Yarrowia lipolytica: one gene and its partner. The protein of the gene in region 2 interacts with the protein of the main gene of each other region in a pairwise test. Links are inferred from orthologs where the notes say so. Each region holds a gene or a part of one and is shown on either strand. Other genes may lie near its edges.

Region 1 (5,517 bases), on a different chromosome or scaffold from region 2:
CACGGTCGTTGTTATTGTCCACGTAGGTCAGGTTGATGACCAACCACGCACATGCAGCACGCACATCGTAATGTCGATGGCCAGTGAACTCGGCAACCTTGACAAGAATAGACTCCTGCTCAATCAACATGAATCGGAACTCCTCGGGGCCCGCAGCAATATGGGCCAGAGTGTAAATGATGGCACTGAGCATGCGTGTGTATACCTGGCGCTTCTCATTGACAGTCTTGGCAAGCTTGATCTGTGAAGACGAGTGAGTGGCTGTGTTCTCGGCCACAGTCTCGGTATGCTGGCGAGATATGATATCAATCTTGTTCTCAAGGAGCTGCATGAACTCACGAGCCTCCACCTGGGAAAAGAAGACCTCAACAAAGTTGGCCTGTTTCATCATCAGGTTCCGTATCAACTCGTGGGCCTGCTCCTGGACTTCGATATCAGTATCACCGAGCAAGGTCAGCAGACGTTTGCAAGTCAACAGTCCCATTGCCTCCTCAATAAGTCTGTCGTCGTTGTCAGGCGGCAGCACTGCGTGTCTCAAAGCCCAGGTGGAGTTGAGTCGCAGAGGAGTATAGTCGGAGTTGACACCAGCGATAATCGATTGCAATACACCTCGTTCAAAAATGTTCTTCTTAAAGGGCGAAAAGGGAAGAATGAGGTTGCACATGGACGCCATGATGGCAGCCTTGACCTCCAGATCTTCAATGTTAGGAGACTCTCCGTCCTCTGTTTGATCCATGTTATCAGGCTCTGCGTTCACTGGTTCCGAGGGAGTCTCGTCCAGAAGCTCGATGATACCTTCTACAACCTCTTCGTCAACAAATCCAGTTCGCAGCAACGATACACTTCGAGAAAGAGCTCGAACAAGGTAACATGACGAAATTTTCATCTTTCGCACCGCTCGAGCTCGAGGGTCTCCAGATGGAGGTGTCTTCATTCGCATAATCTTGATGACATGCGACAAGACCCCACAGTCGACAATTCGAGCTCTGAAGGAGTCCTTATGCATTCCAATAGCTGCCACTAGAAGAAGAGCATCAGCAATGACTTCTTCCAGCTGGTTGCAGTGGTTAGAGGGCTCGACTTCAGGTACCCTGGAAGTCACCAGAGTGCATGCCAGTTCGATGACACGGGCCTCAGCAGCCAAGGTTGCCATATCTATATGGTCTCGACAGAGGAGGGCTAGAGTCTTGCACACTCGGGGGTCGGTGTCTTCTGGACCGGACAGCATGGGCACTAGAACAGGTAATAGAGGCCGGGCAATCTCGAGCTGTTGTGATGCTGGCATATGCAGATGCAGGTTAGAAAACAGGAAGCAGACAGCCAGTCGCACTTGGGTGTCTCCTGCTCGTAGTAGCAAGAAGAGGTCTTGTAGGAGACGTCCGGAGCTCCAGTTGGTGCCCGCAGTCCCCACCTCTCCCTCCAGCAGTTTCATTGCTAAGCTGTGGCGAACCACATGGCTCAGTGCAAAAACTGCTGACGCCAGGGGTTCTGTGTAGATAGAGGGGATTCGATCTCTTTGGGAAAGATACTGTTGGGTGAGTAAAAGGATACGAGCAGCAAGGGGTTCGCTGAGGTCTTCTCCTAGCCGTTGCACTCCAGGGCGAGAACGTCCCAGTAGCGGAACAAGAGGAGTGCATAGAGAGACGACGGGTAGGGGTGTTGAGGGCACAGAAATGTGGTGCGACAGGGCCTTGAGCAGCTGGGGCGAGTCTTCGATGCATTCGTTTGCCACCGTGTCGTTTACCTTGAGCAGAGCAGCCAGTGTTCGCAGCAGCGCGCTCATGTACTGCACCTTGTGACTGTCAGCCTCCACAATAGCAGTGACGATGACTCTGTGTATTCCGAGCCGCACAAATTCGTTCAGCACCAGCGGAGCACAGCCAGAGGTGAAGGAGGCGATGATCACCGCCGCCTGGGTGCGCAGCTCTTCGGACCAGGGTCCGTCCTGGAGCACCTGCACCAGAGAGACCACCACTCCGTCACATTCGAGGTAGCGGGTCTTCTTTTCGTCATGGCCGATAATTTCGTTTTTGAGGGCTTTGCAGGCTGCCAGCTGGGCGTCGGGTGACAGCTCTCTCAGGTTGCATATTTGTGCCACCAGCTCTTGGTCAGCGACAGGTAGAAACATGGCTGAGTTCGAACGATGCCTTTATGCGGTATGAGTAGATATGGTGGTGCGATGCAGCAACGAAATTAACCTAAAGTGGGGATGGGATGGGATGTTGGAGAGAGGGGGGTGGTACAGTATATGAGCCTCCTACGGGAATGCCAAACTGTATCAACCCGACAAGTGAAAAGAGAAAAGACTAATGTCCACAATTTTGTGCCTGCTGATAACTCCAAAACTCTCCTGTTGATATTATTTTCCTGTCGTCGTGTATCCTGGTCCATTGTGGTTGTTATGCTCCTTGCGACTTGTTACACAGTAGCAATGGTAGGGTGTACAGAACTCACACAGTGTGCGTAAGAGGTGATATCGTACAATACGGTACGGGTATGAGCACCGGTAGTACCTAGTATACTGTGTACGTACGTACAAGAATCGCACAAATACAGATACTTGTAACCCTGACAGTGTAACACAATTATTCGGTAGCTCTTGTCTATGTTGCAAACTTGACCGCTTTCTTTTCATTCCCCCAATATGAGACCAAGCGAACTACAGTACATACTGAAAAGCTGTTCAGACTCGCAGTCACATGATCTGACGTCTCTGATAATTCTGTGGGGGGTGCACGGGAAGAGAGCTGTATTTTGGGATAGATATAAAAGATGAAGGCTTTGCTATTTAATGAGTACACACAGTACATACTGTACGGTAGCTACTGTACTTGTACAATACTTTGTGGTGTGCCACTGCCATACCTCACTCACCTCTGCATGCATCGTCCTGTATGTACAGTAAGCAGGTGCATACAAAGTTCAGTCCACCAACATCACACCTAACGACTCTAAAAATGGCGGTCACCTCGATTGCCCTGTATACCCTGGCTGTGTTGCTCATTGCCCACAGCGGCTACTCGGCCTACGAGGCCTCCTACAATGCCAAGTTGATGGCCCAGAAAATAGCCGTTCCCATTGACGTGAGTTCATGAGACCAACGAACAGACGACACAACGACTAAAACGACTAAAGGAATCAACGAAGAGCGATTGAATGACTCAAGCGATTGAATTACCTAACGCCGATCGACTGTCCGACTTATTGCCCGTCTTTACCCCCAACTAACCCAGATCAAAATCGAAGCGCTTATTGGTGTCTTTCTGGCTTGTTTCACTCCGGTGCTCAGCATCGCCGGCACTCTGAAGCCCGTCAAGTTCGCCGATGCTGCTTCCGAACTTGAGCTCAAGGGTGAGAATCCCTTCCTGTATTTGGAGAAGCGGTCTGGTTTCCAGACATATTCGGGCATGATTGAGAACCTGCGAGTTCAGCATTTGGAGGGTCAGAAGACAAAATAGAATGGGAATCTGTGATAATATATTGATAATTGAATAATGATGGATGTACACGGCTTCTAGATAATCATTTAGTATGTTACGTTGCCGGATATTGGTTTTGAGAGATGATGTGTACGTAATCACTCGTGCATGGTCAGACTTTACTAACCATGGAAGCTTCTGCAACTGTAACATCGGAATTAATTAAGAATTGAAACAAGAAGGTGTAGTGATTACAATTTTGTAATATGAGTCAACAGTGGAATTCATAAATAATGCGACCGTACCGACGTATTTAATGGGTCACTAATTGCATCATACTTCTATACTGTTCTCCTTCTCTCCCACCTCTGATCCGGAACGCCTTCATGCTTGCACTAAGTTTCAAGTATCAGTGCAGTGCATAAAAAATTATTGAGTTGGGTAAACTTCAGATCTATCTTCATCACAACTACAACACAATGTCTGCTGTGAAACGAGCATCGAACCATTCGACGTTATCGCAGAAGGTGTTTGTGCGAACTTCCAAGGCCGGCAACGCCACCAAGGTCGTTCGAGAGCAATACCTTCGAGATGATATCCCCTGCTCGTCCCAGGGCTGTCAGTACTGCAAGAACAACCTGTATGTTGCTGACGCCACTGGAAAGCGACAAGAGCCCATTCTCGAGACCCAGCCTAACAAAACTACCAAGCGTGGCCCCCATTACCTCGTTGTCGACACAAACATTGTCCTGGACGGTATCGATCTGCTGGAAAGTGACAAGGGCTTCTATGATGTGATTGTGCCCCAGATTGTGCTGGAAGAAGTGCGAAACCGATCGCTGCCTATCTATGCGCGACTGCGAGCCCTCACCAAGAACGACGACAAGCGGTTCTACGTCTTTCATAACGAATACTGCAAGGACACTGCTGTTGGTCGAAACAAGGGAGAGTCCATCAACGACCGAAACGACAGAGCCATCAGAAAGGTGTGCGAATTTTACACCCAACATCTTGGTAAGGACTACAACGGGACCGCGCCCGAGGTGGTTCTGCTTTCCAATGATGTCAACAACCGAAAATTGGCAAAGGAGGAGGGAATCACTGCCCTCGGTCTCAAGGGATACGTTTCCGAGCTTGTGGACCCCGGCCAGCTCATCGATATGATCCCTCAGCGAGCTCTTGAGGAGGAGGAGGGAGCCAAGCCCAAGAGCGGCAAGTCCGAGGCGCTTTACCCTGAATACTACCCCATGTCTCGACTTCTAGGAGGAATCAAGAACGGCACTCTTTTCCAGGGAAACCTCACCATATCCCCTTACAATGTTCTCGAGGGTTCCGTTTCCACAAAGGCGTACCCAAAGCCTCTCTTGATTCTTGGCCGACAGTCTCTCAACCGTGCATTCTCTGGTGACCAGGTTGTCGTGGAGCTTCTTCCAAAGGACAAGTGGAAAACTCCCTCCACGAGTGTGATTGAGAGTGAAGATCTTGCTGCCAATGAGGGCGGTGAGGAGAGTGGAGACACCGTCATGAGCGAGTCTGAGCGGAAACTGCTGGCTGACGATGCCCTCAAGGCCCACAAGAACGAGGCCGATGCTGCTGAGCGAGTCCAGCCTACCGCTCGAGTTGTCGGTATCATAAAGCGATCTTGGAGATACTACGTTGGTCACATTGCTCCTGGCTCAATCATTGATGACGTCTCTCGAGGCCCTCGATCTGTTCTGGTTGCTCTCATGGACAAGACTCTGCCCCGAGTTCGAATCAGAACTCGACAGGCCGCTGCTCTCCAGGGACGACGAATCGTCGTTGCCGTGGACTCTTGGCCCGCTGACTCTAGACACCCCGAGGGTCATTTTTGCCGAGACCTTGGTCCCATCGAGTCCAAGCAGGCTGAGACTGAGGCGCTTCTGCTGGAGCACGATGTCGAATACCGACCTTTCACCAAGGCTGTTCTAGACTGTCTTCCCGCCGAGGGTCCCGACTGGAAGGTCCCCCAGGATCTCGTCAAGGAGGCTGCCGAGAAGGATCCTCTTGTTGCCAAGCGACGAGATCTACGACATCTCAACATCTGCTCCATCGATCCTCCAGGATGTCAGGATATCGA
Region 2 (5,979 bases):
GTCTTCGGAGGACGACACAGAAAGCTTTCTGAGAATCTGCTCCGAGCACGGCAGCGCAATGCCCGCAGGCAGTTGCTTTCGGCCCTTTTCCAGCCGAGACTGCTGCTGTCGAGGAGGCGACATTTTGTCCAACACATTGTTGGATGACATGGACAGAGTGGGGGGAGGAGCCATGATGATAGTAATTAAGAGCGATAGAAAATGATACGGGGGTTTTTCTTTTTAATCAGTGCTTGGATAATGCAGGGCTCGATGGTCTTAGCGCTGCTGTCTTTGTGTGTGTGTGCTTGTGTTTTTTTTTTGGGTCTTGTTGGCTGGCGCTTTGTGATTTCGGGTCACGTGAAATGTTGCAATTCTGGAGCGTGAAATGACGTGCTCGCCCTCCCTACTTATACCCGCAGGCCTGGGGGATTTGTGTTTGTGTCGGACAAAGCAAAGGGGGGTAGTGTGGTGCAGCCAAACCTTAAAGACAGACTGCAGTGCGTTGGTTATGCAGAGTCCCGCCGAAAGAGAGCAATTTTAGAAAGTCTAAAAAAGCCACAGTTTGGATAGTATCAATGTAGTTGTGTGAGGAGAAATCACAAAACGGTACCAATGGCCCTTTGGTGCAGATGTGCCTGGCAGTTATATAATTTTAATCGTGGCTTTGTGGCGACTTGGTAGTCCATGTCGTGCTTGGGGGGATTCTGGGATGCTGGGCCGCTCGCGGGGCCCCTGTCAGGTGGAATGGAGCTTGCGGCATTTTCCGGCCACGACTTGCTACGGCGCTTCCCCAAGCGGCAAAACCCGTACCCTAAGTGGCTAGCTTTTTCACGTGGCTCAGCCCAGCCAATCGGATTCTTCAGCCACTGTGGCGAAGGTGGCTAAGGTTTGGTAGAGGTGGTTATGACTGAGCGAGACCGAGAGAGAGCGAGAGAAGGAAAAAACCCGAGAAAGACGGGCGAAAACCGAGATATCGGCGAAAGAACCGAGAATGAATTGGGAAAAGAGATAATCGGGTTGGCATGTTGGTGTACGCTCTTTGTTCGGGTGATAACAATGCTCGGATTGGTGTCGTTATCAAGAGCGCTGATATGTATGTACGGGAGCTAGCACCCCCTTTAACCCCTGAAAACTTCCTATAACAGACTTGCTGATCTGTTGTCCAATCTGCCAATGGAATGTGCAACCAGTACGGTACTTGCATCGTATACAATACGAGGACAGCCCCCCATTCATATCGGAAGCACCCGACAAAGAAAAGATGCACGATCGGAGATCTTCCAGGAGGTGGTTAGTAGTTATTGGTGGATGGTGGATGGTGGTTATTGGTTATTGGTGGTTATTGATTGACTCAGGTTTCAGGTGCGCCACAGAGGCTAGTGCTGAGACTACCGGTACGAGTGCCGGTACTGGTAATTGTACTAGTAGCGTCCGAGCTCGACACTTGTGCTCGTAGTGTCCTTGTACGCGTAGTGTCCTTGTGCTCGTGCCGCCAGTTCGTCATGCTCTAGTGTCGATTGCTTATTTTATTCTAGTCCATCCTTCTAATCTCAAAGATAAGGCTCCACCGTCTCAGACTCGGACTTCACCACCCCCCTCCGTCGCAGACTCAGACTCAGTAACTTCCATCTGTCACTGCTTCTGTCCCAAGCCCACCCTTGACATTGAACCATACCTTCCATGTCTCAGTCGATCTATCCATGCATAGACCGACCATGATGCTGCTGCTGTAGACAGCCGAGAATCACATTCCCCAATGACGACGGCCGCTCAGCTGGCTATCAGGGACGGCAACATCGCTTGCGCTCCTTCCCTACCCTCAGGTTCCTACGCAGGCGGCAAATAAGCACCCCACATGACCACCTGAAAGGTGATCCAGACGAAAATGTAGCGCACCACATAGTGCCCATTGTACCCCTGAGCCAGCTTGGCCATGTACCAGTACAGGGTCGGCAGACAGGTGGAGATACGGGTGATGATCTGAACATGCCACATGAAGACACACGCCAAACCCATGATGGCATGCACCGTGTAGAAAGGAACCAGCGACGGGTTGGTCGACATGGACTGGTACATGAGATAGAGCACTGGGGCGGCAAACAGAAAGTTGGGAATGTTGTTGGCCGTCCAGTATCTCAGGAAACCAACGTTCCAGTACCGCTGCTGAACATAGCCGTAGATGCTAGGAATGTAGTAGTTGCACCATTCGTCGCGCTCGGGACAGAAGATGGACCAGGGCAGGTACTGGGTGTACAGAAAGACCGCTCCAACCAGAGACCCGCCAATAACAACAGAAACTCCCCTGTTGAACTGGTTGTGCTTGATGGCAGAGGCCAGATCAAACAGAAAGGGGATTCCCCACAGCAGACCGTTGCCTCTTAGTAAGCAGGACGCTCCCAAAACTGCTCCTGCCAACGGGTACTGGCCCCGCTGTCTCAAGTACAAACCTGTGAACGACAGAAGCGCAAACAACGACTCGGTATATCCCGCCACCAGAAAAATGCCCGCCGGCGACAAGATGTACATGAGCGCGGTGGTTTCGGCAAACCGCTTGTTGTGGAAAACGGACTCGGTGAGTTTTCTGAGCATGAGGGCCGCCAGAAGATGACTCAGCGACGAGACGGCGATCGCCGTGTAGGCAATGGCGTCACGTGATCCGGCGAGTCCCAGAGCACGGGACCACATCCAGCTGAAGGCCCATTCGTGTTCGTACAGATGGGATCGCTCTGCGCTGGACACAAAAAACACAGAGTCCCAGATGACCAAACGCGACAGAAAACGGTTGTTGGGGAACAGCAAGGTCGAAGAGGTGTCATATTGCCGGGGGACCACGAGCGCAAGCGCTACCAAGTATGCCTTGATGGCCACAAACACCACAATGAGCGTTGTGAAATGTTTCATTAGTTGTGTCGAGGAGTCTGACAAGGTTCAGAGTTGAGAGTAAGATGCATCGGGGCATGTTGGGCAGGTGAAATGGGGGGAGTTTTTGTCTGTGAAGAGAATGGATGAGATGAGTGTGTTTGTGAGGATTGGACAAATACGATGGTTGTTTTGGATTCTCGATGCGATTTCCGTGGCGGGTTTTGGAGCAGTGTCTGAATGTGGATGCTATGCACTGAGCTGAGCTGAGAGGTGGGAGGAACAGAGTCGGAGGTGGGGATTTTTGTATGGGAAGTGGTTGAGATGTTGGTATCTTTGAACTCGCCAAGAGTGAAGAAATCCATTGAGATTAGTTTTGGAGTGCTGAGGGACTTGGATGTGCCGATATCAGTCCTTCTTATAGTGGTCTTATACAGAAACACGTGTTTTTTTTGGCGAGTTCTGGACAAAGCCATTGTGAGACAAAAACCGTCGATATATAGCTTGAAATGGGTCGGAAAATTGTCACACAGCCCTCGACTATCGTCTATGAGTGTCTGTATGTTTCTGAACACGTTTCAACCGACTCTCATTTGGATGTTATCTTTCTAACCAAATGTTAACTATAGGTTAGGAATACTTAACTAAATTAGACAGATTTGAATATCAAATACTGGTGGTAGGATGACAATTGAATAAACCCCCATTGGTACTGACCACCCAGAGAGAGCTTATGTAATCTAGCATGGAGAGAGGGCATTTATATATTTATATTTATATTTATGTTTATTTATTAATTTATAATTTATTTATAATTTATAATTTATATTTATATTTATATTTATATTTATATTTATATTTATATTTATATTTATATTTTTATTTTTTTTTTTATTATTTTATTTATATTATATTTTAATTTATTTTTATTTTTGTTTTTATTTTTATTTTTATTTTAAATTCTTTTAAACATACCCTCTGAACCAGCAACCAAGACAAGACAAGACAATCCACAAATACCAAACATCAATATCCAACCCGGGCCCATCTCTCCAATCTGACAAAATAAAACACCGAAATACCGGTTCGATTGTCATTTATCTCCGTCTGTTCCCCGATCAAAATCACTTTTTTCTGTCCTGCCTTTTTTGCACAATAATTTAAACTCGCAAGCACTCAGGCACCACAAATCACATGAATATGAGGCTACAAGAGTGTCTCTAAGAGCCGCCACGGTGTTTGAAACCACGCAAAAAGTGGAAAAATCGATTCAAACCGCCTCCCAGAATACCGCCACAGCCTCCCCCAACCGCAATTTCCCCCAATTCCTCCACAATCACCGCCCCAAATCTCGCCCATCTCCCCGCATAAGCAATCTGCAGACTCCTGCACAGCAATTGACGACTCATCATCAGCACCATCCAAGTAACTTCAACACATACACAAGTCCATCAACCATGTTCCGAACGCTTCAATCGCTGAAAACCGCCCGATTTCCGTCGGTCCAGATCCGCCAGATCACCGTGGGCACCGCCAACCCCCGCTACCACGTCCATCTGCTCGACAAAGACACCACGGATAAGTTCCGACAAAAGTTCAAGCATCTTCGAGACGTGGACTCTATCACCGCCACCGTGTCGCTTTCCCCGGACCCTCTGGCCGTCTTTTGCGCCTCCACGTCCATCTCTCCCATCAAGAAGACGCTTCTAGACCCCAAAGAATCGCCTCTAAGACACACCATCTATCGACCGGACGCCGATGAAGATCACACCCACAAGGAGACCCGAATCTACTCGCTCAAGGAGTTCCAGACCCTGTACGGCCAGGACTCCGTCACCGACGCCGATTGTCTCTCTAACCTGTACTGCGACCCCCGAGTGTTCGACAAAGGCAACTCCGACTTCCTCAAGGTGCTCAACGAGGTGCTCAAAAAGGACGCCTACAAGGACCCCCAGGTCAAGGACTTTGCTGCGGGCCAGGTCTTTTCTATTTTGCCTCCCCAGAAGCAAAAGAAGGGCTCTGCCCCCGGCGGAACCCTTTACATCCCCGTGTTTGACAACAGAAACCCCCCCATGCAGGCTCGAGTTCCCGACGTCCAGGACACCATGGGCATGATTGTGGTGGATTACGAGGGCAAGATCAACCCTGACACCTATGAGGAGAACTTCCAGTACAGAATCATCACTCCCGACGGACCCCCCCAGCTATCGGACTACATCTACCCCAAGGTGAAGAAGGTGTGCGAGGAGGCCAACTAACTGGCTGGACAGCAGTGAGAAGGGCCCCCTGACACCACAGAGCCCAATTGGCACGCATGTCTAAAACTACAACTACAACTATACAACTATAGACAGTTCATTACATTGACATAGAGGCAAAATCTCCAACAAGCGAACCTCAACCAACTGGTGGATGCTCAAGGATGAATCGCGTAGCCCAAACAACCATCAGATACATTTTCCTTGTTCAACACGACTATAGAAAGTAAGTGTAGGTCCTCCACTAGAAGATACCGTTGCGGGCAACTTGACGATATCGGAGAACAATATGATGGATATACAGCCACGGACCACTCTGATTGATTAGTAAGTCGAGAGATCAACCCGTTGCTCACCAAGTCGATACTGCCAGTTCTGGTTCTGATCTTCTGTTCTACAAGTAGCCAGCAGAAGAACCTGTCGAGTTTACCAGGAGTAGCATCGTCATCCACGTGCCCTTTATCTCTGAAATGTTGCCTAGCGGCTTGACCACAATTTCATCCTACCTCATGGCTGTTTTCTCCAGCCACAAGCAAACCACATTAATCATTACGTATAAAAATGCTCCTCCACAATCACCTGCTGCGAGTTCGGAAACGAAACGTACCATGGTTCCAGTGACTGGGTGAGACACTTCCGGGAAACCACCCCACCTTGTAGCAAGACAGTTCAAGGCCCTCCATCCCCGCCCTCCACGACATCATCGTCGCTACATAAAATCCCTCGTCACGTTCAAGAAACTCGCAGTGTCATTTCCACTCTCCCCCAACACCTTGATCATCTGCCGCGTATGCTGAACAATGCGCTTGAGAGGCGCCACGGGCGACCGTCCATGGGCAACCAGAATGGCCGACGACAGCTGCTCCCATAGCTCCTCCCG

Evidence for each region. The genes of interacting proteins can lie anywhere in the genome.
Region 1: the proteins of YALI1_F15403g (region 2) and YALI1_E04349g interact in a protein complementation assay, tested with the Saccharomyces cerevisiae proteins (2 studies listed by BioGRID). The link is inferred for Yarrowia lipolytica from reciprocal best matches to the Saccharomyces cerevisiae genes GPI18 and EMC5.

Annotation. Positions count from the first base shown.
Region 1 is NC_090774.1:432,015-437,531, forward strand, and holds YALI1_E04349g (uncharacterized protein), read left to right. Parts: upstream 1-2,957; coding exon 2,958-3,083; intron 3,084-3,233; coding exon 3,234-3,458; downstream 3,459-5,517. Other genes in the region: YALI1_E04341g (uncharacterized protein), read right to left, coding at 1-2,128; YALI1_E04359g (uncharacterized protein), read left to right, coding at 3,899-5,517. UniProt on the Saccharomyces cerevisiae protein: Part of the endoplasmic reticulum membrane protein complex (EMC) that enables the energy-independent insertion into endoplasmic reticulum membranes of newly synthesized membrane proteins.
Region 2 is NC_090775.1:1,537,504-1,543,482, forward strand, and holds YALI1_F15403g (uncharacterized protein), read right to left. Parts: upstream 2,884-5,979; coding exon 1,810-2,883; downstream 1-1,809. Other genes in the region: YALI1_F15367g (uncharacterized protein), read left to right, coding at 1-147; YALI1_F15377g (uncharacterized protein), read left to right, coding at 202-346, 402-523; YALI1_F15387g (uncharacterized protein), read left to right, coding at 1,244-1,406, 1,479-1,690; YALI1_F15418g (uncharacterized protein), read left to right, coding at 4,299-5,099; YALI1_F15449g (uncharacterized protein), read right to left, coding at 5,809-5,979. UniProt on the Saccharomyces cerevisiae protein: Mannosyltransferase involved in glycosylphosphatidylinositol-anchor biosynthesis. Responsible for the transfer of the second mannose to the glycosylphosphatidylinositol during GPI precursor assembly.